Linked DNA regions of Astyanax mexicanus. Each later gene encodes a partner of the first gene's protein in a complex. Links are inferred from orthologs where the notes say so. Each region holds a gene or a part of one and is shown on either strand. Other genes may lie near its edges.

Region 1 (7,884 bases):
TTAATCCCCACTGGGTTGATACCCCCCTCACACACCTGTGACGCTGTTTCTATTTATTCTAAAAATATAAACATACAATAAAAAATCTCTCTGTAACCAAATAATGCACACTATTAATGATAGTGATAATCTTCTCTCTAAATTCTTTGTAAAACTGTTTCTTTGTTTTAAAAACTGCAAACAAGAAGCTTGGTTTATCAGAATTACAGTTATTAATATTTTTTTTGTTGTTATAAAAGGGGAAAATGCAGACCTAAATTAATATATATTTATATTAATAAATACTACCATTTAAATATTAGATAGGCCAGGTAGATTTAAAAAATAAATATTTAATTTCCTCTTATATATATATATATATATATATATATATATATATATATATATAAGCTGTTATTCCAGCTGATATTCATGCAGTTTAATGTTATAATATTAGAGGAAGTTGTACTTTTATTCTTTCTAAGAGCCACATCACAAGATCTGCTGTAGTTCTGCTGCAGGTGGAGACTCTTCGACTTGACTTCCTCCACCTCCAAACCCTAGTTGTCTAGTGTCTCTCTAGTGTCTTGCTATGAGCACACTGAATAGTGTACACCCTAACTTACTAGATAACACCTCACAGCTTAAACAAGCCCTCCCCTGATGAATTTCTTTTAAACCAATTTACATATTGCTGTCCCATTAGTTTTAGCAGTTCAGTGTAATTTTCTATTGCTCCTAAAATCTTGTTATGAAATTAGTGGAAATTTATGCACACAGTAATGGTGTACTGAATCAGGTAGGGAGTTAAGAGGACTTAAAATATTAACAGTGTTTATGCACTGAACAAACTGTTTTATTGAATTGTTTATGTCGTTCATAACGTTCAATAAAACATGCAAAGGTTTTGGCATCTGCAGGAACATCCACAAGCTTTAGTGTGTCTCTATTCTGGTACTCTATGGTAGATCTGAGGAATGTTTTGGATTACTATCCTGTTACAAACGTCATCCAGTCATTTCAGTTCATAACAGGCTTTTAACAGACTGTTTGTTATCAGCATGCTATCTGTTGGTGTACCTAAAGAACTGGCATAGTCATGTTAAAGTAATACACTGTATAAGTGAGAATATGAGTTCTCTTACCCAGAGTCAGACTCGAGGCACACGGTGGGAGAGTCTGTAGGGTCTTTAGTAAGAGAGGCAGCCTGTTTCGCCAGGACAGATACAACCCCACCGTGCTCATCAGACAGGGTGCCGCGGCCTGCAGAAACACCACACAACTAGTCAAAAACATACTGTTTTTCTTTTTATTTTATTTATTTATTTTAACACAAAACTGTCAAAATAATTGCAAAACACTGAAACAGATATCAAGTTGGCTTTTTTGACAATCCAGGACTAAGCTGATTAATAATATTTCTACTGTATTTATTTGTATTATACTAAATGATAACCAATACTTACATCCGAGATTATGACCCTGGGCATCTGTACACAAAACCCCAACGATTGAAGGACTTTTCATTCTGACGAAATAAATAAACAGATAACAGACATTCATAACAGGCATTTATAACAGTGGGAAAATGTACTAAACAACAAGAATCAAATAACAACACCAATCAGCCATAACCCCATCAACTCCATTATGCATGGTACCGATAGGATCATGTTTATCTGTTCCAAAGATTCAATTCTTCTCTACAGAGATTAAACAAGGAGTGTGCTTTTTTTAAATAAGATTTTAGTATACTATATATACAACCTATATATGTGTGGAGCTTGCCTGCTTTTGCAGTCTGTAATTTAGCATGGTAAGTTATTTGATTGATAATTGTTTCTGAATTATACAGTATTCCTACTGAGAAAAACATGAGAGCCAAGAAATGAACTACAGTGCTTACTACCTTACGTAAGGTACCACTTTGGGACGATTTGAGTACCACAGTTTAAGAACAGCTGGTGTATGTAAACTTCTACAAATTGGCTACTTGTTTTTTTTTAAGGAAAGGGGGAAAAAAATTACATTTTGAAAAATATACACGTATATCACAGTACTGAAGAAGCACAATCAAACAACGTGTACTTGTACTCAAATTATTCTGAAATTATAGATAAAGTAGATAGAGTTAAGCATACGCAGAAAAATATATTATTTAATTACTTTACACATATACCAAGCATCCCATGATATGGGATTATTATTTGATTTATTTTTAAAAAGAGTGACAACAAGCACTAGCTAGATAAATAATTTGCTGACTGTATAGAAGGCATATGTCATATCAGTATGCCTAACCTTAGGGGTTAAATGATAAAAAATTAGAGGTTAAATGATCAAATTAGGGGTTAAATTATAAAAAAAGGGTTAAAGATACACTCCCAGACCATAAACACACCCAGTCAGACTCAGGTAAGGCTAGTCGCAGTAAAGAATGTAGGGATTCCATTAGGAATTAAATTGTAAAATTAGGGATTAAGGGTAAAATTATGGGTTAAATTATAAAATTAGGGGTTAAACGATAAAATTAGGTGTTAAATGATACAATTATGGGTTAAATGATAAAAATTATGGGTTAAATGATAAAATTAGGGGTTAAATGGTAAAATTAGGGGTTCAATGATAAAAATAGGGGTTTAATGGTAAAATTAGGGCTTAAATGGTAAAATTAGGGGTTCAATGATAAAAATAGGGGTTTAATGGTAAAATTAGGGGTTAAATGGGTTATAAGATACGCTCCCAGACCATTAACACAAGAAGTCAGAGTTGGGTAAGGCCAGTTAAGCTAAGTTAGTTAAGGGTAACTGTATAAACAGCGCGGGTCCGCTCAGCGCTGTATAAAAGCCGCTGCTGAATAATAATGGAGCTCACGTGTCGTCCAGGTGCTGCTCCAGCGTTGCCTCCATAACTATAATAATAAATATTGCAGATTGCAATATTAAAGAGAATCAGAGGGGAATTGAGCCGCTAACAGGCTAACTACTGTTGTACACTGTATACACCCTAATCAGCTGACCCTGTGTGCACGTGATCAGTCTGCTACGGAAAGCTGTGAGGATCAAACACGCGCACCGGAGCGCTGCGTGTAATGGAGTGGCGCCATCTAGCGCTACTTTAACAGCAGTGAATCTAAAACAAGCATAATATATAATTTTATAAAAAGATATACAATAAAAATAAGATAAGACCCTCAATCATTAAACAATAATAAAGTATATATGTACTTTATTATATATAATAATAAAGTAAATATGTTTAATTATTATTATTATTATTATTATTATTATTATTATTATTATTATTATTATTATTATTATTATTATTATTATTATTATTATTATAGCATTCTTATATTTTCCCATCAATGGAACATAATTCATGTCTGAATAGGTTAAGTTGTTAATGCTCAGCTGTATATTGAAAAGAAAAAAACGGTTGCCTTAAAATCGTTAAGTAATGGGGAATGAAAACTTAAGTTAGCATAACTTAGAACATCAAGTTATTACAACTAAAGGGGAAGTTGATTTAACTTTTTTATTTCTTTTATACTCTAAGACCAGATAAGTTGAGTTTACTTAACGTTTTTAAGGCAGCCGGTTTGCTCATTTTTTTTTAATAATGGGGAATGAAAACTTGAGTTAGCATAAATTTAAATATCAAGTCATTACAACTAAAGGAGAACTTGATTTATTTCTAAGGTAGCCCAGGGGGAATCACTACACACTGATGGTGAGTGTCAGTCAGAAACTGTTGGACACACCCAGTATGCAAATAGATTGTAACAGAAGCCAATGGAAAAGAAGCTGTTAATGGCGACAGACTAAACTCAGTTATTATAAGTTGGTTCATCTCAGTTTGAATGTTGTATATTTGTGCCTACAAATGTTCAACTAACTCAAAATAGTTGAGTATTGTTTAGAAATATCCAATTTTATGTAAAACAGACTTAAATCATTTGAGTTCAAACAACGTATGGGTTTACAGTGCAGAGATAAAGATAAAAATAAAGTTGATTGATTGATTGGCTAGTTGCCACCCTTCACTAATGTCATTTGATCTGACAAGATAATGACCTATCTCTGTTATTTTGCATCATCCCTTTGTGAGATTAATTTCTGGGTTCAGTATGTACAGCCTCAATATTACAGAATATTAACAGCTTCTCCAGAGCTCTGAAAACAAGCAGACCACCAGCATGTTCCCCTTTTCACCCTGCAAGCAGCTTTTGACTCTCAGCTCACATTTAGCCGCTATTGTTGGTGGGGTCTCCGGGGGCCGGGGGTGTTCAGTGTGAATGTGGATATCAGATGAACCCTCGTCTCTGACTAAAGCTCCAAGAAAAGAGCAATTCTTTCCTCCACTCACTCTTAAAAGGGTATGTGTTATCATCAAAAATCACTGCTGATTTGTCCCTCCTGTGACAATGACACGGCAAAACTTTGTCTTTTATGTTTGCTGACATTTTTTTTCTACCAAGAATTGATTCTAACAATGGAGACAGCTCAGCTCAGGCTGAAAAGACATGAATGGATTTCCTCTTTGTGAACCCTAAAGGAGTTTCTTATCAATCTCTTTCTTATTCTTTTATTCTGAAAAGACCCCCGCTGTGGATTTGAGCTTCCTGACTGCTTGTTCAGTAGATGTTCCAGGGGGTCATAATCTATATTATGGGCAGTATAGTTGTTTAAATTTCATATAAACTCTGTATAACAATACATTTTTCAAGATTTATGAATGAACACATTAGTACAAATACAGAGGAATGTTAATCTTGCCATATGTGTGTCTGCAGTGTCATCTGGATTTTTTTTAAGTGCTTAAATAACACAATATAACACAATTTGTTAATTACTTTTTATTAATTTCTAACTTTCTATAAATGTTGTGTCTATTAGACTATTTAAACATTCTGATAACACACAATAGTACATTCGTAAAGCATTATAAACATGGCTTTAAATATTTATATATTAAAAAATCATATACAGCCATGTTTATTATGCATTATACCACAGTTAGTTCCGACCCTACAATGTGATTGGCTGAGAGGCGTTCTATGAGTGCCGCTATCAGCCGGTAATGCACTGTAACCAAAGCTCTCCATGTATTAATATGCCACATACAGTACAGGTAACCTAGCAACAATGCAGCGCTTCTCGTCTTCTTTAATCTTTCAATAAACTGTGATAATGAAACTGTGGTATAATCGCAATTTTTTTCATATTAAAGTTATTTTATTACATGTTATATCACTCCCTCTCATGTATTATTGCTTAATTATGAACTGAGATCATAATGCATCATAACCTGTAATAAGCTTGTAGTATGTTATGCATCGGGGTTAAAATGTTACATTTCTCTTGCTATTAATACAGCATATTCAGTATATCCCCTTTTTGGACATTTTTCACTTTACTTAAAGTGTACAACGACACATTATAACACATTATAAAGTAATATAAGTTAATATGAGTGGTTAAAAGTGGTTAATTATAGCATGCTTTGTTAAAGGAGCTATGTTTCGGTTCTGGGTATTGACATATAACATCTTATAAGCACAGCTGATGATGCATCATAATCACAATTCATAATGCATAATAAACATGGCTGTAAAGTGTTATACATTTCTATAAATATTTATAGTCCACTTTATAATGCTTTATGAATGCATACTATTGTACTTTGAGTATATAGAGACTAATATGGTTAATTAAACTCAAAATGTCAAGTTATTTTATCCAAATTGTAAGTTACTGAAACAAAGGGGTCTATTTATACACATGGATGGGGACAGGAAACACCTTGGGGTGAGTAACAAGGGGGCGGAGCTACACATGAACAGATGAGCATAGAGAACAGACCAAAGGTGAAACAAAACAGAACAAGAATATATCAAAAGTCATTTTGTAAAAGTTATGGAGGACAAAAATGTAGTATTGTGATAAAAACTTCAGTATATTTAGTCCTGTTATACACTGAGCTCTGCTCGGCTAAAGTAGCCGGAGGGATTAACGCAAGGCCAGGTTTTATGTCGTCCGTTTCCGATCAATAAGAAATGCCGCTTCTCATTTCACAAGCTTCCTGTTTCCTCTCGTTACTTGCAGGCTAGTGAGCCAGGAGTCAATCGCATTTGAATCGAGTTTATTTATGAACTCAATATTTATGCAAATAGGAAATGTGAGTAGAGAATGTAACTACTCTCTCTATTTCCAGGCACCAAAATCAAATCAGTTCGAGCAGAGAATGCTGTTCTCTGAACATCTTCTGCAGAGCCCTGTCCCGATACATCCAACTCTTTATATTCTATTCATGATGAATATGTTTAATAAACATAATTATATGTCGTGTGTAATAAGGCTTTAATTCGCCATGAGTCACAATCAGACCAATCCCGTTATCCTCACTGAAGAGCTCTGCGTGTGAGACTGTGTTTTTTAAGCAGCCGTAGGCAGATCTGAGCTCCACACACACTGTGTGTGTAAAGTGTAGATGAAAAACATATGATCAGTTGCTAGGATTGCTAACTGCTAAAATATTAGCATCTACCAAAAACAGAATTTAAGAACACATGAAGACATGGTCAGTAGTGAACAACCTTTTGCATGATGTCATCAGCTCTTACACACAGACCACCAATACACCACTAACACAACCATAATGGCAACTATTCCATACATCCAGCACCTCTACCTGAATGTTACTATACACACACATACACACCAATTGGGCACAGATTCCATCTCTTTCTCTATCCCTTTTCTCTGTTTTCTCTCCCGCCTATATATATTGTACCTGTTCTGCTCTCTTGTTCTCCTGCCTTCTTTTGCTTGTTATTTTGCTTATATTACTATCTCTCTAATGTAATTGTTTATTAAAGCTAATAAAGCTTAATTTGTCCTCCAAAGAGGGGGGTGGGGGCGGACCTAAATAAATAAATAAATAAATAAATAGATAAATAAATAAATATTGCTATATGTTTATAGATAGTTGATTTGAACCTGTTTACTTTACTTAAACAATTTGAGGAAACTGGTTAGTTTTTATGTTCTTAATTAGATTCGAAATGTCAAGTTATTATGCCTAAATTGTAAGTTCATTTGATGTATGCTTTATTTCTTGTATTAATTGCTTTTCATGATCGGTTTTACAGCCTACAGCATTGAGAGCAGATAGTTGCTAATAATATATTGTATAATCTACAAGTTTACCTACGGAGGAGGCCATGGGGAAATGACTACACACTGAGGGTGAGATGTGGACCGCAAGCATGAAACATATGGCCCGTGAGGTTGTCTGAACTGTAATGAACGATAATGAAAAAAAAATAAATAAATAAAATGCTTCTCTGGCGAGCTTTTGTTTACATTCCTCCCCTGTCTCTCTCTCTGTCGTGCACGGCTTGACTTTAGTTTCCGCCTGTTTCCGCTCCCTATGTCCTTATCACATTTTTTTTCCTAGCTGTGTCCCAATTCACTAGCTGGGACAGCAGTAGTGTATTGGACCGTGACCGAGATGACTTGGGTTCAAACTCGCGTGAGGAGCGGTGTGTTTATTTATTTATTTATTGTGTTTACCTACTTTGAGATGAGCTGTTCTGCAATTGGGTTTAACAACCCTCTGGGCTGGAGAGCTACTAGTAGCACCCCATCCTATTAAACTTCATATTATCCCCCATATACTAACCCCAACATCCCCCCCCCCCTCCGCTTGTGGCCCGCCACATAATGGCTTGGAAAATATCTGTCCCGTGGCCAAACTTAATGGCCGACCCCAAAACAGAGGGATGAGGTTAGTGGTAGGGCCAAGGGGTGAATTGCGATTGGGCCTAAGAGAATCTAATGAGCCTGTAAAACTTTTGAGTACTGTAATAGAAAGTGTAACTGCTCATCTCGATCCTTTAGA
Region 2 (7,704 bases), on another chromosome or scaffold:
ATAAATGGAAATTAAAGAACAAATAATACAAAACAATAAAGTAAATTAAACCCAATGTGTTTATTAATATATTCTGTAAATTTACTTCTACTTCTCCTGGTTTTTAATGTGCTATTGTGAGTTAACATACAATATCGGGGCCAATATTGATGTAATCAGGGTGTCAGATATCGGGTGACCGCGGTCTATCCACTTACCGATACATACTACAGTCCGCAGCTTGAGCTGAACAATAAACCAGCAGTAACATAAACACTAAACGCATCACTGATCCGGATTCCAGTTTAACAGTTTACCCTGAACCTCTAGCAGCTTTAGCTGTTTGTCTTTAAAAAAATCTGGAGAGTTTAACACCAGCAGTCTGTTAGCCTAGCTAGCATTAAACTGACAACTGCATTCTGGTGTTGTAAAGATATTAACTACTGGAGTAAACTATAGACGTAATCTACATATCCTATAAAACCACAGGATCTACAAACACTAACCAGCACAAACACACACACACATCTGCTGTTAAAAACAGTGATTAATTTAGTTCGGAAATACAGTTAGCATCGCTGGTTAGCCGTTAGCCATCTCCATTAACATCTGCAGTCTGTTAGCCTAGCTAACATTGCACTGACAGCTGCATTCTGGTGTTGTAAAGGTATTAACTACAGACTGTAAACTGTAGTCATAATCCAGATATCCCATTAAACCACAGGATCTACAAACACTAACCAGCACAAACACACCCATCTGTTATTAAAAACAGCCATTAATTTAGTTAATTTATTGCAGCCATTGCAGCTAATCCACTACGCTACGTGCGAAAATAAAAGAGTCCTGCGCGACCAGTGCAAAAAAGATTAGTCTAGAGCCATGTATTTAATATTTAACACATTTCATATTGAACTTTTTTTTTATATTTGATAAAAATTTAAATATTTAATTTGAAAGAAAACTATTGTGTGTTTGTATATAAAGTGCGTGAAATAAATGACTTTACATTAAATGCACTTGTGTATACACTTCAATTGGCTGTGTGGTCTGTTTCAGCATTATTATGTAACCTTAATCATAGTACTAATAATAAACTAAAAGAGCCCTTTTATCTGTATTTGTATCTGTATCGGCAGTTTTATATCAGTTTTATATCGGAATCGGATCAGAGCTCAAAAAGGTGGATTGTCCCCTCACTAGTTAGTACGGAGCCTTGAACTCATTCATTACTCTTGGTTTTGATATCTAAACTTTAGATGAGCAATTATCCACCAACCTTTGGCCACGCAAGTGTATATAAACTACTTCACAGCCTCTCTCACCTCACACATGTCGGCTCTCTGTGTGGCAGAGCTGTTGGCCCTCATGGTCAGCCCCTCTCCCTCTCTCTCTGCCTCCCGATCGCCCAGCAGGGCGGACCCCGGCTGAGGGGGCGAGGGGGCTGGTGGATGGACGGCCTCGGTGCAGAACAGGGTCCGGGGCCCGTGCAGTTCACAGAAATGGCAAAGAGCAACCAAAGCATTCATCTGGGGATAAACAATAAACAACGTGGTGGTTCTAAAATGGCCCAGTCCGTAGAATTACATTTTATGGGTTTCCAATAAAGTGGCCACAGAGTGGAAGCAAATAGTAGGTTTTTTTTTTTAAATAAAGTGGACACTGAGGAGAAGCACAAGGTACTGTAGTAGGTGTTTCTAATAAAGTGGCCAGAGTGAGTGGAAGCACAAAGTTCTGTGGAAGATGTTTCTAATAAAGTGGACACAAAAAGTTTAAAAAAAAAGAAAAAAAAGAAGGTACAGTGGGAGGTGTTTCTAATATAGTGGCCACTGAGGTGACGCACAAGGTACTGTAGTAGGCGTTTCTAATAAAGTGGCCACACTGAGGTGACGCACAAGGTACTGTAGTAGGCGTTTCTAATAAAGTGGTCACAAAAAGTGGAAACACAAGGTACTGTAGTAGGTGTTTCTAATAAAGTGGCCACACTGAGTGGAAACACAAGGTACTGTAGTAGGTGTTTCTAATAAAGTGGCCACAAAAAGTGGAAACACAAGGTACTGTAGTAGGTGTTTCTAATAAAGTGGCCTCAAAAAATGGAAACACAAGGTACTGTAGTAGGTGTTTCTAATAAAGTGGACACAAAAAGTAAAAAAAAGAAGGTACAGTAGGAGGTGTTTCTAATAAAGTGGCCACTGAATAGAAGCACACAGTACTGTAGTAGGTGTTTGTAATATAGTGGCCACTGAGTGGAAGCACACGGTACTGTAGTAGGTGTTTCTAATAAAGTGGCCACTGAGGAGAAACACAAGGTACTGTAGTAGGTGTTTCTAATAAAGTGGCCACTGAGGAGAAACACAAGGTACTGTAGTAGGTGTTTCTAATAAAGTGGCCACTAAGGAGAAACACAAGGTACTGTATGTAGTAGGTTTTTTAATAAAGTGGCCACACTGAGGTGACGCACAAGGTACTGTAGTAGGCGTTTCTAATAAAGTGGCCACTGAGTAGAAGCACAAGTTACTGTATGTAGTAGGTAACAAAGTGTAAATCATGTTTACGTACCTTATTTACTGTTTCTGTAACACCCAGACTTCTGAACAGGAGGCTCCTCTATTCCTGCGCTCTGTTTATCAGTAATAACGCGTTTAATCGCCTCTCTGATGAGCAGACTTATTAATTAAACTGTGATTATTAGGATGTAAATCAGGTAACAGAACTCAAGAGTGAGTTAATCAGCGTTAATTCACCCAATAAATAAAAACTATAACAGCAGAATCACCACAGGTAATGCTCTCACAGGTGATAAATCACAGTACGACCACATGTTACTGCATTCTGCCCGCTTTCAGGCCGTCCCCGCAGATTTATAACGTTAATAATTCCCCCAAATTCACAATAAACTCTCCATTACTCCATCTTCAGACCCCTCTGTCACGTGACGAGCAGTCACGCGCTTCCTCCATAACAAAGCGAACAGCTGCAGGTCCGTGAAATGACTCTCCCTTCAAAATAAAAGCCCTCTTGTAAACTATTATTATTTAAACAAAATTAATTCGTTTTAGAACTGATTACAGCAGCACAAAGAAAAGCTCAGGTAGGACTCTGTGTAGTAAAATTTCATTATGGCGCTAGTGTGTTTTTTTATACTTTTTAAAAATATCTTTTAAAATACGCTTGCTAATTTGACAGATTTTAGTTATTTTAGTTATCATAAATCCAGTAAAAAAAATAAAAAACATGTTAGCTAGCAAATAAAAGTATCTTAACCTCCCTGTTTTATTACACTCTGTTTTCTAAGAAATCACACTTAAAAATACTACTGTGGAATCAGTAAATTATTAAACCTTCATTTCACTCGGGAATATATTACACTTTCTGTAAATCCTATAAACTTCATTTCACTTCACAGTTGTCACTGTGTTCGTCTGCTATATGATATGTTTAACTGAAATTGCTGATCCTAACAACCAAAGATTTCTAAAGAAAAATCATAAAAATGATCAGGGGTGCCCAAAGGTTTTCATACCACTGTAAATGGAGTTTAAAAGCTTAAGAAAATATGTGTGTAGGAATAAAACATGTAATATTGTTCTGAGTTGAGAAAATAAGTAACTTACAATTTTCAGTATGAAAAATTATTAAGCATTAATAAAGTATAATTTTGCTACATTCATTTATTTTAAACTCACTCTGGAGCGCCCTCTGGTAGACCAGCAAACCTGGAACACATTCTCGAGTGGGAGTTCTCCTCTCTGTACAGTTTCAGCTAAAACACGTGTCAGGTATCCCGTCAGATGATGTCATTGTGAAATATTCCCCTGGATCTAATACACACACACTTACACGCTCACACTAGCAATCATCAAACTCCCTGGTTACCGGCTCGGTGTTTAAGGTGAGCAAATCCACACCGAATGGTAACGTTAACTATAACTGTTTTTGGTGTTATTTTTGCTTAATATTTTAATATATAGGTTATATAGTCGAAGTTTGTGTAAAAGTTAGCTTCTTTTGGAATTGTCCGTCCCACCTTAAATGCTTCAGCCGTTACACGTTGGGTCTCCAGGAGTTGGTACATATCCCTTGCTGTATCCGCTGCTGCTTTTAAGGTGGAAGTGAAAATTGAACAAGAAACTCATTTAATAGCTAGTTAGTTGTGACATTACTAAAACATTTAACAATGTTTATCACTCTCATAAGGTGCTGTTTATTGATGTACCCTTATTGTAAAGTGTTACCAGTATTTTACTTATTTTTGTAAACATATATAACTATATATAGCGTATACCACCAGCAACATTACGTTACCTTAACCTAGTTAGCTAGCGTTAACTCTATTTTTATTTAGTTAAATATTTATGCTCTAACTTATATATTTGTTGATTCTAGATGTTTACACCGGTGTAACTTTTGTTAATGGTCGTATATAAAACATTTTAAAGTACGTGAAATATTGTTTTTATTTATTTTTTTATTTATTTTTATAAGGGACTTTTATGTATGCATTTAGACAGCTTTTGTAAGAGTCGGTTTTTAAGGTAAGCGAATCCGCACCGAATTCTAACGGCAACTATTGTTTTTGGTTGTTGTTTTAAGTTAATAACAACGTTGTATATGTTATATAGTCGAGGTCAGTACGTTTAGTAGTGTTTTCACCCTTAAATGAAGCTAAAGTTCTCGTTGGAATTGTCCGTTCCACCTTAAATGCTCCAGCAGTTGCACAGTGGGTCTCCAGGCGTTGGTACGTATCTGCTTCTGCGTTTAAGGTGGACCTGAGAGTTCAAACAAGGAACTCAGTTTAGACCTTTTACCTTACCGTCCTTTATTATATGACTGCTTTACTGTCAATGAATAATCATCTGTGCTTCTATTTGGATGTTTTTTACCTAACGTTACTTTCCTATTGAAAGTTTAGTCGTGTTTGTCTTTTTGGGTTCAGTTTTAATCTCTTCCTCCTTATGTAACACCCTGAAGTGTGTTTAGACTATTTCCAGTTCCTGTTTTAGGAACTGTCAGGAATAACAGGCCTTTATTTGAACCTAGATCAGCTCTGGCCTCTGAGGTGGACATCCCCGTGGTTTCCCAGATTACACCATCTGTCATGGAAGAAGAAGGACCAGGGAATCCCCTCATAGAAGATCCACACACCCAAATAGGTCTTTCTTTACAACCTATACAAACCCTCACAATATCACCCTGTATGTATGCTGTTGAGCACTGACCTTTTGGCTCAAGGACCAGTTACTAGATATGCCATTATTATGAGTTGTTGTTGTAGTAGTAGTAGTAGTAGTAGTAGACACAATATTAATACTCTACCCTGGATGTGGAGTCGGCTTGTCTGAAAGTGGGTCAGGCTGGCATCAGCAAAAAACCTGACCAATCACAAGGTTACTAACATAGCCTTGCCCCCTCTCTTCGAGTCTGAGCAACCAGAATCTGTGAGTTTGTGAGCTGTCGCTTAGCAACCGTTTAAGCAAAAAAATAAAATCATTCACTAGCATTTGCTACATATTGAACTCACTAGGAGATGGCCAAATGACTTTGAGCGGACACTACGCTCAGAAACACTGCTTCATAAAAAAGCAACAAAGTTTGTGTGAAACTTTTTTTCATTCTGTCACTTAAAACACCCCCCCATTTTGTTATGGTATACATGGGAAATTCAAGCATACCTTGTCTGTACGCTACATTTTGATAGTGATGAAACTGGCTCTCATCGGAACCTTCCAAGGAAAGAAAGACCAAAAGTTACCCCTGTTACACAGAATAAGTTTCATATATTGCACTATTTTTTTAATGGGGAGCAGTTCTGGATGCAGATTCTATCTTGAGGTAGAGTGTTGCCATGGTAATGTAAACAAACATTTGTTTGCCACACCCACACCGGTCTCTGAAGAGAGGTGTGAAGAGAGGAGTGCGTTTTGGTGATTTGTGGGGAGTGTTTTGTCATATTCTTGCTTTGTGTTTTCTATTTTAACTTTACTATATGCTTCTCAAAACACACACATTTAGTATTTAACAATGTTACCAGGGGCTTTTAGTAATATTAACAGAGCAACATAGGTTTGATAATGAGTATTAAGAATATTACACGTGTGTTTGTGTGCGCCATTACCATTTCATGAACTGTCAAGAGTTCAAAGGTCAGATAGGTATGTCCTCACCTTGTATCATAAAGTTAAATAGGTAAACTCTACTGAAGTCGTTTCTGAATGTGAAGCTCAGTTCTTTCAGTGCTTTTACAGATTCTGGGGTGGGCTGAAAAAGGAGTGAAGGTTAAAGCTGGGATTAAAAACTCACAGACAGTATAATTCCACTTTCAGACACACCCAATACTTCTGTGCTGTGATTCACACTGTGTCTACAAATGTGTTTTATTATAGACCACTGAAGTTGTGTCGTAATTTTTTAGTCGGCACCATGTTGTTTTTTCCCATATTTAGGGTTCTGTGTCTAAGAATTTCTGTTAAATGGAAAAAATGTATGGGCTTTTCAAAAATTGGCCTCTTGTCACATTATGTGGCAAATAAATATGTTCAGAACCCTGTATGTTTTATTCTATGTACATTTTTTCTCCTGAACATCACTGGATCCTCTGAATTTCAAGATTATTTAAGAGTAGTAATAAGAAAAATGCTAGCTTTAAGCTAATACTTAACTGACGTCACAGCACAGCAGCAGTGAATGCTAGGGGACTCGATTCTGCAGTACACCAGCGAACTCCGGCTGGATCGTGTTTTGGATTATTCTTCTTCTTCACAGAGGATCATTAAAGCGTTTAGAGAGGTGAAACTCTTTCAGTATAGTGACGTTGAGCAGTGTAGTCTGTGTTAGAGCTTTAAAAGGCAGATACTAAGAGAGAGTGGCTCTCAGTTCAGGAGTAGCGCTTCCCAGCGGGTTTAGTATTTAATTAGGGTCATTACTTTATACTAATTACAACACATGACCCAAATAATCAACCAACAAATAACTAATCAACTAATCAACTACCTATCTGCTGGCTGAGGCGAGCTGAGTGATAAAGCAGGAAAACTAGCAGGAGAGAGTTACTCCAAAACCACAGAGCTAGCTAACTATCTAAGAAACCAAAGAGTCTAAAATACTTAAGATAAAAAACCTTAATATGTGTTTTTTCACTGAATCCTATTATATGGACAAACCTTAACTTGGCTTAAGGTACTAAACCAACGAGACAGAAACACCAAACATTTTTTATTTATTTCACTGCATAATAAAGAGAGTAAATGTTAAAACATGCTACAGTGTTTAAAGCTGGCTCCTGGAGTATCACTGTCCTGTTTTAGTGATTTCCTGCTGTAACACTCTCAGCTCTCTTCAGTGAGGGCAGTTAGTTCATTAGTTGGATCAGCTAAGTTTAATATGATGTAAACTTATGGCCAGAGTTCTCTGGTGTTGTGCTGAAAAAAGTCCCCTGCCGATCTTTGCAGCTGCACTGTAGCATTAGCTTAAAGCTAGCATTTTTCTGATTACAACTCTTAAACAATCTTGAAAATCAGAGGACCCAGTGTTGTTCAGGAAGAAAATTTACACAGAATAAAACGTACAGGGTTCTGAACATATTTAATTTACCACAGAATGTGATAGAGAACAGTTTTTTAAAAAGCTCATTCATTTACCTCATAGAGAAAAAAACGCTTAGACACGGAGGCCTGAAGTCACAGAATGACGCACGACTTCAGTGGTCTATTACAAAAAAGTGGTTTT
Region 3 (7,149 bases), on another chromosome or scaffold:
CGGTGTCTTTGTCCTACCTGTACATTCACCTTGATTCAGACATATACTTATTGTTTATAAAAATATTAATTATTAATAAAATGTTAAGATTAGAAATGTTTCTCAACAAAAACTATGCATTTAAGTAGCTGGTAACTGAGTAATCCTTTTCTGTTTAATGTGTTTGGACATGTTTGGTCTGTGACTGTACATCTAACCTAATCAGCTGTTATTTGTTTTTTCCTTTGTGAACTCTGGCACAGCTGTAAGTCAGGTTTTATTTAAAAGAGAGAATTTCCTAAATTAGAGACTTTAATGTATAATAGAAGAAAAGAAATAAAGCTGTTGTAAAGTCTCATTGCCTGTATTTGTTTATTAACAAGAGGTCAAGAGGATTTTATTGTCATTACAACTAAGTACAGGTACATAATGTAATAAAATTACGTTCCTCCGGAACCATGGTGCAACATGGAAGAACAATACAATAGACAACATATAGTGCAGAAGTGTAACGAAAATCTATAACACTACAATAAATACAGTAAATACAACAGATGAGACAATTTAACAGACAGGACAGTGCAGTACCGTATATGGTACAATGAAATGTGATAGAGTGGTAGAATAAGGTGCAGAGATATGTAACATATAGAACATACATGATCACAGCACTTACTGAGGTAGTGAGTTTATAGATTTTTTGGTAAGAAGAAAGTATTGCTGTTTTTTGAGAGTGTTTGTAGAGTGAGGTTTGTAGGGTGGGTTCAGTACAGTCTTTGTGTTTGTGAAGAGTGGTTGGGGGGTTTAATTCAGTTCTGTGTGAGTGTGTTGGGTGTGTGGTGGGGATTTCAGCTCCGTCTCTGTGTTGAGGAGTTTGACTGCCTGGTGGATGAAGCTGTTGCAGAGTCTGGTAGTGGAGGCTCAGATGCTCTGGACGACATCAGAGCAAAGAGTCCGTGTGAGTGATGGTTGGGGTCATCCACAATGCTGGATACTTTGCAGTGTCTGTGATGGAGGGGAGAGAGACTCTGATGATCTTCTCAGCTGTCCTTGCTGTCCACTGGTCTGAAGTCCTCCTCTCTGCTACTGTAATCAGCAGTGTTGTGTATGATCGCATTCATATTTGTTGTGAAGACTAAACTTAACGACTACGTTTACAAATACTGAACGTGCCACTGAATGCGCAGCAAATCCAGAGCCATTCTTATAACAGAAATTGACTGCAAACTGGTATGGGGAGCCCACGAAAGAGTCAGTCCAATATTAATGGGAGTAAATGGGCTTAAACGGCCAACTCAAATAAAAAATGGTAAATATCCACTTTGCCAGAGTATTCCTTGAATTTTGAAAGTATAATAATGTATATTTTTTTAACAAGGAAATAAAACACCTTTATATTTCAGTTTTACTACAGTAAATGGGTTTTAGACAGTAAAGAAGCTGCATTACTGATACTGTCAACATTTGATATTGATGTGTGGTGAGAAAACAAGTATAATTTAATTTAAAAAAAAAAAACGCTTGGTATAGGATAATATATTTATTTTGGGAGTAGTGAAGATCTTGGGCTTGTGATGGAAGTGTAGAAACAGGTTCTGTTAAAAAAGAATAGCAGCCTATTTATTAAGAGAAAACAAATAAACGTGAACTAGTACATTTTTAAATGAACTTGTTCATTTAAATTAGTGTGAACTGAACTTTGAACTTGTTTATTTTAAATGTGATCTGGCACAACACTGGTAACCAGAGCTCCATTCCAACCACTGTCCTGGCCCGTCTGATTAACTGGCCTTCATTTCTTAATTTTTGCCATAATATAGATTAGAATACTACTTAAATATGCCTATTTACTAACTATATACCAAATCTACCTCTACTTTAAGAAAGACGCAGAAGTTTAAATTGGGTACAAAACTGCCTGTTTTTCTTCATAGTTTGGAAGATTTTAGAAAAAGTAAAAGAATGAAATTTAAGGTGTCCAAACTTTTATTAGTTAAATAAGAGATTTTGTCAATATCACAATAACAGTTGTGACCAATAATTACTCATTATAATAGTTATTATTATATATATTATATATAATTATTATTATTATTATTATTATTATTTATAATTACCATTATATTATTTTGGTTTGTCCAATATTTTATAGAAAAGCTTCTACAAGATGTTAAAGGTTTGAGATTGTTTGAGGGTTTCTCGGCTAAAACCCAGCTGAAGAGCATCTGCTCACCTAGAGAAAATAAACCCTCACAGCATAAAGGGATTTTAGAAGAAAAGTTGATCTTTATCTGAACTACTTACCAGGATTTAACCCAGTCATAGTAAAAAACTATATAATATATAATAAAGAGTAAAAATTCTACCAAAAAGTTTCTAATACTGCAGTAAAAATAATGAACTGCCGCGTTTCTTAGTTTGACCGGATTTTTTTTATCATGCGCTTCTGAGCAGCAATAGGTGAACTGGAGTTTGGCCAAAGCTTATTTATAGAAAGAATGTCCACTTTCTGTCTCCCAGTTATAGCAGAAAATTACTGTTAAACACTAGAGAGAGTCCGCGAGAGAGTCATTAATTGGAATGAATAAGGCTAAACGGCTAAAAACACAATTACAAATAGTAACTTACTGCTTGCTTGGGATATTCATTTAATTTAGACCCAAGTGTTTCCCTAGAAATCCAAGAAATCTTACCTGTCTATTTTAGTTTCATTTTGGTAAACGGGTTTAAGTCGCTGTATTACTGCTACTGTGAGCTGATTGACTGACTGACTGACTGGAATGAGCTGATGCTGCAGGTACAGCCAGAGCAGCTTAGAGAAAAAAAGGTTGTAAAAAAATATATTGCCTGCAGTGCTGAAAATGTTTTATACATTTCTGTGTCGAGTGTATTGAAATGACTAATTATAAGTGTTAAGTATAAAAAAAATTAAATATTCATAATTTATCATTTTGCTCAGCTGCTCCATAGATATCTTATACGTATATGTATATGCCTGTGAGCTGCTCAATATAACCCCCATATGAATTCTCTCCAGAGCGCCCTCTGGTGTCAGACAAACCCGGAAGAAATTATCAAGTGGGTTTTCGCCCCTCTATACGCTCTCTGGTTTTATGCTGCTTTAACACAACTTGGTAAATATGTATTAGAAGCGGTCTGATACAAGAACAGTTCAGTCCAGACTCATTATGTTCCACTAACGAGATCCAGCTCATCAGTTCCCGCTCACTAAAGCCCGGCTTCAGGAATCCAGGCAGCTTCCATCTGCTACATACAAGCTGAATAAATTAAATATGAGTATTTACTGTATTATAATGGGGTATACTGCGTAATGTTTATAAAGAACAAGAAACGTTAACACATTTAATTAATATGATTTAAGTTGGAGTAAACCAACATTATTTATTATGAAAATATTAGTTCAGTAAGGTGCAACTAACAGCTTAGTAGTTTCTGTATAAAAGGTATAGATAAAAATATGCTTCTTAAAATACAAGAAATAATAGTATACAAAGTATAATTGAAAATGATATAGGTAAAAATTATAATACATGAATAAATATATCAGTGTCAGCCCCAGTGTCACTTTTAAAACCTAATTCTAATTCTTCATTTCCCATTCTGTATAGAGAGAAATAATAGGTTTTCATCCATTTTTCATCTATGTCCTTCACAAACATAAGTATATGAAAAATATTGTTTCTTCTTTACTTGATTATCTTTTTTTTTGCATCTTGTAACAATTGTAGGTTGGATTGTACCACCAGATCTGTGTTACAAAATGCAAGAATTGACCATTTAGAGTCCTGATTGTGAGAGGCAGAAGTGAAGAACAAGAAATTGGGAAACTGCATAGAGAATCCATTTTACATTCACTATACTAAATGGAAAAAATAAACAATTTATACCTAGGCTTTATAAGTTTTTATACACCATTTTTTGTTTTCAAATTTAGCCTTAGATGGTCAGAAAACTGACCTTATAATCACTGACCGTGTATGCGCATTAATCTCATAAACACGATTATAATGACAATTCCTACTGGAAGGAGCATAACCCCAAACCCCAAGCCTCCGGCCTGACCACGTGGTGTCTCTCCGGAAATAGCAGCCAATCAGCGCGGAGAAGCGGGCGGTGTCGTTTCTGAGCTGCTCGTGTGAGTAATGCGAGTCATATGACCAGGCCGCGGAGCAAGTGGGTCTCGCGGAGCGCGGTGTGCGCGAGGTCGGGTCGGTAAACGCGCTGTTTGTGTGTGAATGCGGGGAGCCGCGGCTCCGCCATGCCGCCCACGCTCTTCCAGAAACTCTTCAACAAGCGGGGCCCGCTCTCTCCGCCGCCCCGGAGCAGCACGGAGGACCCCGCGCTCAGGTACGGATCCCCGCCCGCCCGCCCGCGGATCCTCGAGCTAATCTATAGCACTGGAGTTTAGGTAACACCGCTTACTGTGTGGTAAATGACCCAAATTGTCATCAGTGAAGCGGTTTATTTGTGAGTCGGATTGTATTTAATCTGTGTGTGTGTGTGTGTGTGTGTGTGTGTGTGTGTGTGTGTGTGCGCGCGCGCGTGCGTGCGTGTGTGTGTGCGTGTGTGTTAGCCGTTAGCTGAGTGGCTAGCTGTCATGCTAGCGAGTTGTCTCCTGCGTCTTGTGTGCTGTTGTCAGTGTTGGGAAGGTTACTTTTAAAATGTAATCCCTTACAGGTTACTGATTACATCACTCAAAATGTAATTTGTAACGTAATCAGTTACATTACTTCAAGTGAGTAACGTAATCTGATTACTTTGGATTACTTACAATATTGTCATTTTTTTAAGCCTGAATGAATGTAGCAACCACATCTTGCATATTATTGTTTTATTTTTCCTTCCAGTTAATAGATAGACAAATAAAACAGCCTTTTCAATCACCCTATAAAAATACTTATGAAACCATTTAATCAAACAATTTTATAAAACACTTCTATAAATTGATGATAAAATCATTAAAAACCAAACAATGTAACAACAACTGTAAGCTAACTATTTGCAGGTTTGCCACTTTCTGCAGGTGGATTTTTTGCCAGGATTATCTAGGGGTGTAAATCACAAGATTCATTACAATACGATACAATACGATTATTTTAGTCAGCGATACGATAATGTACGATACCTCAAATTGTCTTTATACGATACAATTCGGTCCAATAGGATTTAATGCGATTACAATCTGTTCCTTTTCTAAGAACTCACAAATGCAAACAAAATATAATTTGAATGTTTTATTATTAAATGTCAAATGCAGTGTAATCATAAACAGTAAACAATAATTCACTTCAACACTTTAATTTCCATTATTTAAGTTCCATTTGAGAACATCAAATGCAGAAGAAAAAAAAAAGCGCCTGTTATATTTAGAGTTTACAATGTGTGTATGGATGTTGATGATGAATAGTCAATCATTCTCTACATTTCCTGATTCAGTAGGGTCTTGACAAACAAGTTACAAAATTTGTAATTTATATCACAATGCATTGAAGAGTTACACTGCATTATATTAGGTGTCCACCAGGCGTCTCCAAAGTGTTCAAAACCTCTCCAGTAAATCTGTCTCTATACAGCCAGAGTTTGTAATATTTTTGTTTGTTTGTGATAAAATAAATGAATGTAAGTCTATTTCAGAGTAATATTAATACTTTTTGATGAAATGACAAACAAAATCACACGTATGCGCGCTGTGGGCGCACTTATGTTTAGCAGAGGGAATTTGGTGACAGCGGTTAGGCATGCCCCTCCCCCAGCCATTAGGAGACCAATCAGGACAAATTACGTACCAATGTTTTCGTCTAAGGGTGGACTATTGGTTGAAATAGGTGTCAATCACTTTTGTGACGCTAGAGAAAGGCTATGACCTGATTTGACTGGATTGGATTGATCCAGCGCTCACGTTATTGGTTCAAAAGACGATCACTCAAGAAAAATAGTGGTTTGTGGACCAATAAAAAACACAGAATCTAGAAGAGGACATCCTTAGCTTTGTATTCACGTACAACTTTACGTGAAAATATTACATTGTGTGGTCGCTAGGAGCTTGAGAATATTACGTTTCAGCTGCGCTGAAAATAAACGCATGTTTGTGAGGAGAAGTGAGCAGGTGAATAAAGGACTTTATGGATATTTTATCTGCGATTCAGTGCTGTATTGTGGATGCTGTGATAGTAAGTGAATTTTCTATAATGTAATATGATGTTATTTTATATACTAATAATATTTTATAAGGCTATTTTGTTGGGGAGGCGTGTTCCCCATGTAAACAATGTGAAAAAAAACAGGCTTTTTTTTTCAGTTGGCGATTTCTGGCGACTGGTTTCATGTAGATGGTTGTAAATTTGCATGCAGGTAGTTAAATTAGTAGTTACTAAAGAATATGAGTCGGTTATTTGGTCGGTGTGTTTAGAATATTTGATGCTTATAAGCATTCTACTTTACATAGTCAGAACGGGCCCGCCGATGGGCTAGGGGGCGCTTCTGCAGTGAAAACATTCTGAGCAGGAGGTTGTGAATCATAGAATATTTTGATGACGTGATTTATGTGAATGTGATTGCGTTTTGTCAGTGTTGGATTGGAAGACGATTGTAACGGATTACAGTTACTCATAATTTGTAATCTGATTACGTAACGCCGTTACACGTAATCCGTTACTTCCCAACACTGGCTGTTGTCGCGCAGAGACTGGTGTAGTTATCTGCTGTAGGACAGTATTAAAGTCTGGTGTAGTTATCTGCTGTAGGACAGTAGCGGAGTCTGGTGTAGTTATCTGCTGTAGGACAGTAGTAAAGTCTGGTGTAGTTATCTGCTGTAGGACAGTAGCGGAGTCTGGTGTAGTTATCTGCTGTAGGACAGTAGTGGAGTCTGGTGTAGTTATCTGCTGTAGGACAGTAGTGGAGTCTGGTGTAGTTATCTGCTGTAGGACAGTTGCGGAGTCTGGTGTAGTTATCTGCTGTAGGACAGTTGCGGAGTCTGGTGTAGTTATCTGCTGTAGGACAGTAGCGGAGTCTGGTGTAGTTATCTGCTGTAGGACAGTAGCTGAGTCTGGTGTAGTTATCTGCTGTAGGACAGTAGTGGAGTCTGGTGTAATTATCTGCTGTAGGACAGTAGCGGAATCTGGTGTAGTTATCTGCTGTAGGACAGTAGTG
Region 4 (7,786 bases), on another chromosome or scaffold:
AAATATTGTCATTTAGAGCATTTATTTATTTGCAGAAAATGAGAAATGGCTGAAATAACAAAAAAAAAGATGCAGAGCTTTCAGACCTCAAATAATGCAAAGAAAACAAGTTCATATTCATAAAGTTTTAAGAGTTCAGAAATCAATATTTGGTGGAATAACCCTGGTTTATAATCACAGTTTTCATGCATCTTGGCATGTTCTCCTCCACCAGTCTTACACACTGCTTTTGGATAACTTTATGCCTTTACTCCTGCTGCAACAACTCAAGCAGTTCAGTTTGGTTTGATGGCTTGTGATCATCCATCTTCCTCTTAATTATATTCTAGAGGTTTTCAATTAAGTGGTCTCTTTTTTTTTCCTGAGCTGTATGATGCATTACAATTTTTTGCCAATGTTTTGTTAACTGTCAGTATCAGCTTATACAATCAAATTTTTTATTTGGTAATTTAGTAGTCCAGTATGATCAATGAATAGAATCTGAATGGACCCCATCAGCAAAAGTTTGGCATGCTCAGCAATGGGTTATTAAGTTAAGTAGGAGGTGATCATTTGTGCAACTGCTATAAAATCATAACAATTAAATATTATTTAAACATTTTAAAAGGCAGTAGTGTATATAAGAAAAAAAGCTTTATTTGCTAAACAAAACTTTTCAAATATACTTCAAATATCATGTGACAGGAGTTTGTGAATTGATAATGAAGTGGGAATTCAGACACCTGTATAATTTGTGAGGTGTTACCTTGTGAGTTAGGATGACTACTGGTCAGCATGCTCATGGCAAGGCGCTTTGATAGTGGGTAGAGGAACTCCAGACTACATTAATTACACTTGAAATCTACAGAATAGATGTCTAAACAAACAAGCCACCCACAAACCGCAAGTATAAATAAATAGAAACTGTAAACATAGGACCGTAAGTTGATTTTTGATTTTTTTGACAGTTATTACCATACAGTCCATGAGAATAAACTTCAGCTTGTCCTCGTTGAAGGCTTGATGTCCGTTCTTATCATAGGCTGCCCAGATGTTGCTGGCAATAGCTGCAGTTACTCGCGCGTCTGTGTCTCCATAGCCAGAATAGGCCAGAAGTGACCCTTCATTATTTAGTAACCTAACACAGAAAGAAAGAAAGAAAGTGACATCGGAAAATTGGTTACAGCAAGCATCAAAACCAACACAACATCCGCTGTCCTGACAAGTTTTTGCCCAGTTAGAAGCCTAACAATGCAGTTTAGACCTTCATAAAGATACATTAATTCAAGGATTCAAGGAGATTTTATTGTCATTTGCATCACGTGGTACATGAGGTGGAACGAAATTGTGATCTCATGATCCAGTTTACACCCAAGAGCTGTTGTTAAAATAGATATATAGATAAAATAAGATAACAAAATAAAAAAAAAAACAATAAAAATAGAATATACCAAATAGTATGGAAGCCCATTCCCGCCACCTAAAAAAATAAAAAATAATCCAGCACATTTTTTTTATTATTATTAAGTAAACCGCTATATAGTAATAGTATCCATTGTGCGTCTTTGTCTCACCTGCCTCTGTCTCTGTACAGTATACTAGTATCTCAAAATATTGAGATAGTATATCAAAATAATGACTCAGTATCTCAAAAATAATGACTTATTATCTCAAAATATTGAGATAGTATTTCAAAATAATGACTTAGTATCAAAAAATATTGAGATAGTATGTCAAAATAATGACTTACTTTCTCAAAATAATGACTTGTGTCAAAATATCGAGATATTGCAGTTTACTTAATAATAATAATAAAAAAAATGCTGGATTTTTTTTTTTTTTAAGTGGCGGGAATGGGCTTCCATAAAATAAAGATAAAGATAAATACCCTAAAAAAAAGTAGACAATTAGCAGCAACAGTACATCCTACTACATTTTTTTATGTAGCATGATAACACAGCACTGCTACTGCAGAGTTCAGAACATTTCCTCTTTATACATTTTTGAATGTGGAATATGGAGCTACACTAACATTTACTTCCTCCATTAAAGCTCACTTTTAAACTTAGTAAGTCAGCACATACAAATAAAAAATAAAAAATACAGGGAAATACCTGCATTTAAAGTATTTGAATAATGATATGATTCATAATTAAATAACATTTTTTTTAACAAATGACACCTATTATATATAACTTAATTTAGAAAATATAATACTGATGTGATATTTACACAAAAAAAATATATATATATATTAAAAGCTTAGCCTTACGGAGAAAAAAAGTTTAAGTAATCGCAATTTATCACTATTATTAATAACATTTACTACAGCAACAGTTTCTACACATCTAGGGTGGCTTAAAACTTGATGTTATATCATATAAAAACTATTATTCGCAAATTTTGTTAAACAAAAGCTTTATTACTTTTTATACCTTAATACTTGACACTAGGTTGACCATTTAATTCCCATTTAATTTATATTATCTTTACTAAAGCAAAACAGTGATGTGAATGTCTTAAATTACTTTATTTGTTGTATAAAAACAACCTTTAGTACATTAACTGGTTTATACTTAACTAGGTTAGATAGGTTAGCTAGCTAGCTATGCTAAGAAGATAAATTAATCAGAAACAGAAGCGCTGCTTACTTAACACTGACACTATCATATCGATTGAAGCAGATTTAACACGTAAACAAACATTAAACCACATTAATAAACTGATTTCACTGTGTTTCTATATATTTATCTCACTCTGAACCTATACTAGCTAATGAAGCTAACGAGTTAGCTTAGCAACCTTAGCCACAATATTTCCACATCTGCGGTAAACGGAGCGGATAATACTCACAGCGTGCTCTGGACTCCGTTAGTGTTGGCCTGGCTGAGCACCTGAGTTAAAGCTTTAGGTCTTAACATGATCAGAAAACCCAGTAAATCCCTCAAAATACTACAGAAACCAGGACTTTTACAGCAGCCAGCATTAACTTACACACACACACACATCAGCTGACTAACACACTTCCGCAACACAGGCACGAGGGGGATTGTGGGAAATGTAGTCTTGGGCCCAATAAGCGTAGATAGTTTATTCATACAATTATATACTTAAACTAACGAGTACAAAAAGGTTTTTTTTTTTTTTAATGAGCATATATAGTTAAGTATGCACCTTGATAAGTAAACTAAATGAGTATAAACAGTTTGTTTTTAGCTTAATAAGTACAGATTGTTCATTTATGCACCTTTATAATTAAGATATTTCATTTATGCATCTTTATAATTAAACTAAAGAGTATAAACAGTTTGTTTTTGGCTAAATGAGTATAGATCAATCATTTATGCGTCTTCATAATTAAAGTAAAGAGAACAAACTGTTTATTTTTTATAAAATGAGCATAGCTAGTTCATTTATGTGTCTTTATAATTCAACTAAAGAGTACAAACAGTTTGTTTTTGGCTAAATGAGTATAGATTGATCATTTATGCACCTTTATAATTAAACTAAAGATTTCAAACGATTTATTTTTGATAAAATGATCATAGGTAGTTAATTGATGCACCTTTATAATTTCACTGAAGAGTTTAAGGAGTTTGTTTTTTATAAAATGAGCATGGATAGTTTACTTCCGTGCCTTTATAAATAAACTAAAGATTTCAAACTGTTTATTTTTTATAAAATGAGCATAGGTAGTTCATTTATGCATCTTTATAATTAAACTATAGAAACAGTTTGTTTTTGATAAAATGATCATAGGTAGTTAATTTATGCAGCTTTATCATCAAACTAAAGAGAATACACAGTTTGTTTTTGATACAAAAAAGAGTATAGACAGTTCATTTATGCATCTTTATAATAAAACTAAATATAAAAAGGTTGTTTTTATTGAAATGATAAAAGATATGTAGATGAAAATAGCTGATCATAAATATTGTATATACAATGCTGTAAAAAAGTATTAGTCCCCATACAGATTTATGTTTTTTTGTGCTTTTTTTTATTATACTTACATTTTCAAACTAAGTTTAATATCAGACAAAGATAGCATGAATAAACATAAAAAGTACAATGTTTTCTCCATTTGTGAATTATAGCTCTCACTGTGGTCCTTTTCCAGACTGATAGATGATCAATGGCTTTGCAATTTTTGGAAAATTTAAGTACATAGTATTGTAAATGTAGTGATAATTATAAGTATGACAAAAAAGCAAAAACAACAGAAATCTGTAAGGGGCAAATATTTTTCACAGCACTGTAGTAGGGGATATAAGCATGTCCTACTGTAAAGCTATATTCTTGGTTTTCCTTTTAAATGTCTCATATCCATTACTTTACTTGTGTTTAATTTTTTTCTGTACTGTGCCATTAGGACTGACACACTGCTGATGTCATGGAAAAAAAATAATTTCTGTTGTTTGGACCAAGAGAAATTCTCCAAAATCATTTTGAATTTAATAAAATCTTTTTACTTTGACTTCCATTAAAGTCCTGTAAATATCCTGAAGGAAACATTCCTTCAGTGTGAAACACTTGAAAATTGGTTGTTTTTAAGACCGTTTAATGGTTGTGCCAAAGGTACCTTAGTCTACCTCGCCTAGCTTAATGTTGCGTGTACAGTGTCTCTTCGGTGTCAAACAATAGAGAAATAATGCAGGTTTTTTTCTTTTTTGCCAACCTTTTGGCCAAGCAATTGCGTGGTTTGCGTGGTGGTAAAATCCGCCCCTTATTATGGGCCCTATTTTAGCGATCTACAGGTGAGCCTCAACCATGCACCGCACAGCTTAATTGAGGGCATGCCAGTGTGTTTTTGCTATCATAACATTAGAAAAAGTATGACATGTACTAATTCTCTTAAATTGATTAAGAGCAGGTGTCACTTGCCTTTCCCTTTAAGAGTCAGGTGCACTATTTCAAGGGTGCATCTCTTCTGCGCATCTCTTTAGAGGAAACTGACCTGCTCATTTACGCTGTGAAGGTAAGCCAGCAATTTAACAGGAAAATCAATTATATTTTTTTTCTTGATTTTGTTTATTGTTGATGTAAAGGTTGGGTTTGTGCACTGCAGCTGTGTGTAACAAATAGTGTATGTGTGCTGAGCACACAGAATGCACCCAGAGTTGCTAAGATAGGTATGGACGTCTGACTGGTGACTGTTGACAGGGTTTAAATCAGTCAGTGGAGCACCTGTGTTTGCCACTGCCAAGATAGCAATACACCAGATATTTACCTGAACACACCTCACTTCCAGACCACCACGCCCATTGCCGTAGATATATTCTTAAACTCTGTTGCTATTTTAGTGACACAGGCTGAAAAAAAGACTGTTGACGGGTTGTAAGATAGCAATTAGCATCACTACGCACTTTACACAGAGTGTAAGATAGAGCCCTATATGTTATATGTAACTAATGACTTCTTGACGTGAGTCACAAGACAACTGTTGAACAAACTGGGATTCAAAATTAGGGTGGATTAGGGTGTAATTTCAGAGACATGTACTAGTGCTCACACATTAACGCATTAATTCTAATTTAAAAGCAACTACCAGTAGTCGTAAGCCCAAGGAAATTAAACGCTAGAAGCTATTTAAACTAATGTACGTTTCTCTAAGCAGTTTTGGTGGCTTGTGCTGACATTTTATTCAGCTATTCTAATTATTGGTTATTCTATGTTCAATATAAAAAAATACTTATTTGAGGGACAATTCTGATATTTAATCTTATATATTATGTTTTGTAATACTAGGATACATGTCACAAGTCATGTGACAGTAGTATGTTAATGGATCAAGTGTTACCTCTGGGAATTTTGGAACTTGTGAATGCCCACATATGTATAAGTTGTGAGGTGTTATCTTGTGAGTGGGGTTGAATGTTAGGTAAAGTGAATTATGGGAATTGGAGGGAGGACTGATAGTGGGAGCAGATGGATGAGATATTTACCATTCCTTGATCTACAGTGTAGCAGGAATACATCATAAGCAGTAATTACCACCCCCAGTGGACAGAAAATTGCAGTGGGTGGTAATGCTGGTGTCCAGCAGCATCTGGCTTGAACTGTCTGTGTGAACAGTTAAGCAACTGTGGCATAAATCAATCACACCCATTTCAATACAGTATGCATATTAAATGCAGTGTCCTTTAGCCTCAATTAAACATTGCAAAAGTCATGGGACACAATACCAGTTCCATGACATTTGGCATGACTGCGTATACTGTACTTAAGCACTGCATCCTCAACCTCACTTGCTTGACAGGCTGCAAATGCCTGAGTTTGTATCCTTGTCATGTTTGAATGTTCTCTCACACTGCAGTACCCACAATGCATCAAACAAATACTCATATGGTCTATAAATAAAAATATGAGTGCATCTCAAATAATCTAAATATCATTCATATAGATATATATATATCACACAGAGTGATCTATTTTAAGCGTTTATTTATTTTATTGTTGTTGATTATGGCTTACGGTCAATGAAAATCACAAATCAGTTTCTCAGAAAATTAGAATATTATATAAAACAAATTGGTACTTTTGGCTGTGTACATAGTGTGCCAAGTCCTGCTGGAAAATGAAATCTACATCTCCATGAAAGTTAAGGTCAGCAGAGGGAAGCATGAAGTGCTGTAAGATTTTGTGGGAAAACAAACTTTAGACTTGATAATAAAACACAGTGGATCAACACCAGCAGATGACATGTCTCTCCAAACATCACTGATTATCAGTAAATTTTACATTTCATTTGTAAATCAAGGGATCAGAGGCTGGAGGAAGAGTGGAGAGACACACAGTCCAAGCTGATTGAGGTCTAGTGTGAAGTTTCTACAATCAGTGATGGTTTGGAGAGACATGTCATCTGCTGGTGTTGATCCACTGTGTTTTATTATCAAGTCTAAAGTCTGTGCAGTTTTGTTTTCCCACAAAATCTTACAGCACTTAATGCTTCCCTCTGCATCTGACAACTTTTATGGAGATGTGGATTTCATTCTCCAGCAGGACTTTGCACACTGCCCACACTGCCAAAAGTACCAACTGGTCTTATATAATATTAAAATTTTCTGAGACACTGATTTTTGGGTTTTCATTGACTGTAAACCATAATCATCAACAATTAAAGAAATAAACACCTAAAATAGATCACTCTGTTTGTAATACATCTATATAATATAGGAGTTTCACTTTTTGAACTGAATTACTGACAAAGTAACTTATCTGGATTGGATTCTGATCAGACATTAGCCACATGTAGTTAAACTCAGTAGTTGTGTGTCTCTGGTTAGTCAAACTGAAATCTGATTGCTGTTGTGGCGTAGAATTGGCAAATTTGCTTGTTACATAGCAGTTATTACTGGTGTTCCAGTTAAACTGGGAGGGATTTTGGTTGTTAAATGCATCTTGTAGTAATGGATGCCTTTACAGTGCTATAGTAAATTGTTAATATGCTTTGTCACATCCTGAACAGGTTTGATTTACTGGATTTGTATGAGTTAAGTGTCTTGAGTGCATTTTTATGTAGCTTGGCCTGATCCAGATGCAATTATGAGATTGTCACAATACCCAAAGGGGAATAAAGCCAGATGTAAATGTGGTTAGCATAATTTTGGGTCCATAAAGAACCGTGTTGGTAATAAAGGTGTGAACACCTAAACAAAAAACTGTTCTTCACACTTTAATACTGGTTATTTTGATGGCATTGCTGCTGAAATCTGAGTTTTGTTTTTAAATACGTAAAACTATAGATACTATGAAAGTGTCAGTGAGTTAAAGTTGTAACCTCGTGCTCATGAACTCATTCAACTGG

Evidence for each region.
Region 2: lamtor5 (region 1) and flcn share a complex: the UniProt entries of both Homo sapiens proteins name them as parts of the lysosomal folliculin complex. The link is inferred for Astyanax mexicanus from reciprocal best matches to the Homo sapiens genes LAMTOR5 and FLCN.
Region 3: lamtor5 (region 1) and fnip1 share a complex: the UniProt entries of both Homo sapiens proteins name them as parts of the lysosomal folliculin complex. The link is inferred for Astyanax mexicanus from reciprocal best matches to the Homo sapiens genes LAMTOR5 and FNIP1.
Region 4: lamtor5 (region 1) and lamtor2 share a complex: the UniProt entries of both Homo sapiens proteins name them as parts of the ragulator complex. The link is inferred for Astyanax mexicanus from reciprocal best matches to the Homo sapiens genes LAMTOR5 and LAMTOR2.

Annotation. Positions count from the first base shown.
Region 1 is NC_064419.1:41,212,683-41,220,566, reverse strand, and holds the start of lamtor5 (ragulator complex protein LAMTOR5), read right to left. Parts: upstream 3,013-7,884; 5' UTR 2,889-3,012; coding exon 2,854-2,888; intron 1,508-2,853; coding exon 1,446-1,507; intron 1,243-1,445; coding exon 1,125-1,242; intron 1-1,124. UniProt on the Homo sapiens protein: As part of the Ragulator complex it is involved in amino acid sensing and activation of mTORC1, a signaling complex promoting cell growth in response to growth factors, energy levels, and amino acids.
Region 2 is NC_064413.1:8,017,529-8,025,232, reverse strand, and holds the start of flcn (folliculin), read right to left. Parts: upstream 3,013-7,704; 5' UTR 2,539-3,012; intron 1,509-2,538; coding exon 1,305-1,508; intron 1-1,304. Other genes in the region: leng9 (leukocyte receptor cluster member 9), read left to right, coding at 5,078-5,132. UniProt on the Homo sapiens protein: Multi-functional protein, involved in both the cellular response to amino acid availability and in the regulation of glycolysis.
Region 3 is NC_064424.1:38,408,918-38,416,066, reverse strand, and holds the start of fnip1 (folliculin-interacting protein 1), read left to right. Parts: upstream 1-4,135; 5' UTR 4,136-4,258; coding exon 4,259-4,347; intron 4,348-7,149. UniProt on the Homo sapiens protein: Binding partner of the GTPase-activating protein FLCN: involved in the cellular response to amino acid availability by regulating the non-canonical mTORC1 signaling cascade controlling the MiT/TFE factors TFEB and TFE3.
Region 4 is NC_064408.1:115,893,331-115,901,116, reverse strand, and holds the start of lamtor2 (ragulator complex protein LAMTOR2), read right to left. Parts: upstream 3,015-7,786; 5' UTR 2,901-3,014; coding exon 2,833-2,900; intron 1,118-2,832; coding exon 955-1,117; intron 1-954. UniProt on the Homo sapiens protein: As part of the Ragulator complex it is involved in amino acid sensing and activation of mTORC1, a signaling complex promoting cell growth in response to growth factors, energy levels, and amino acids.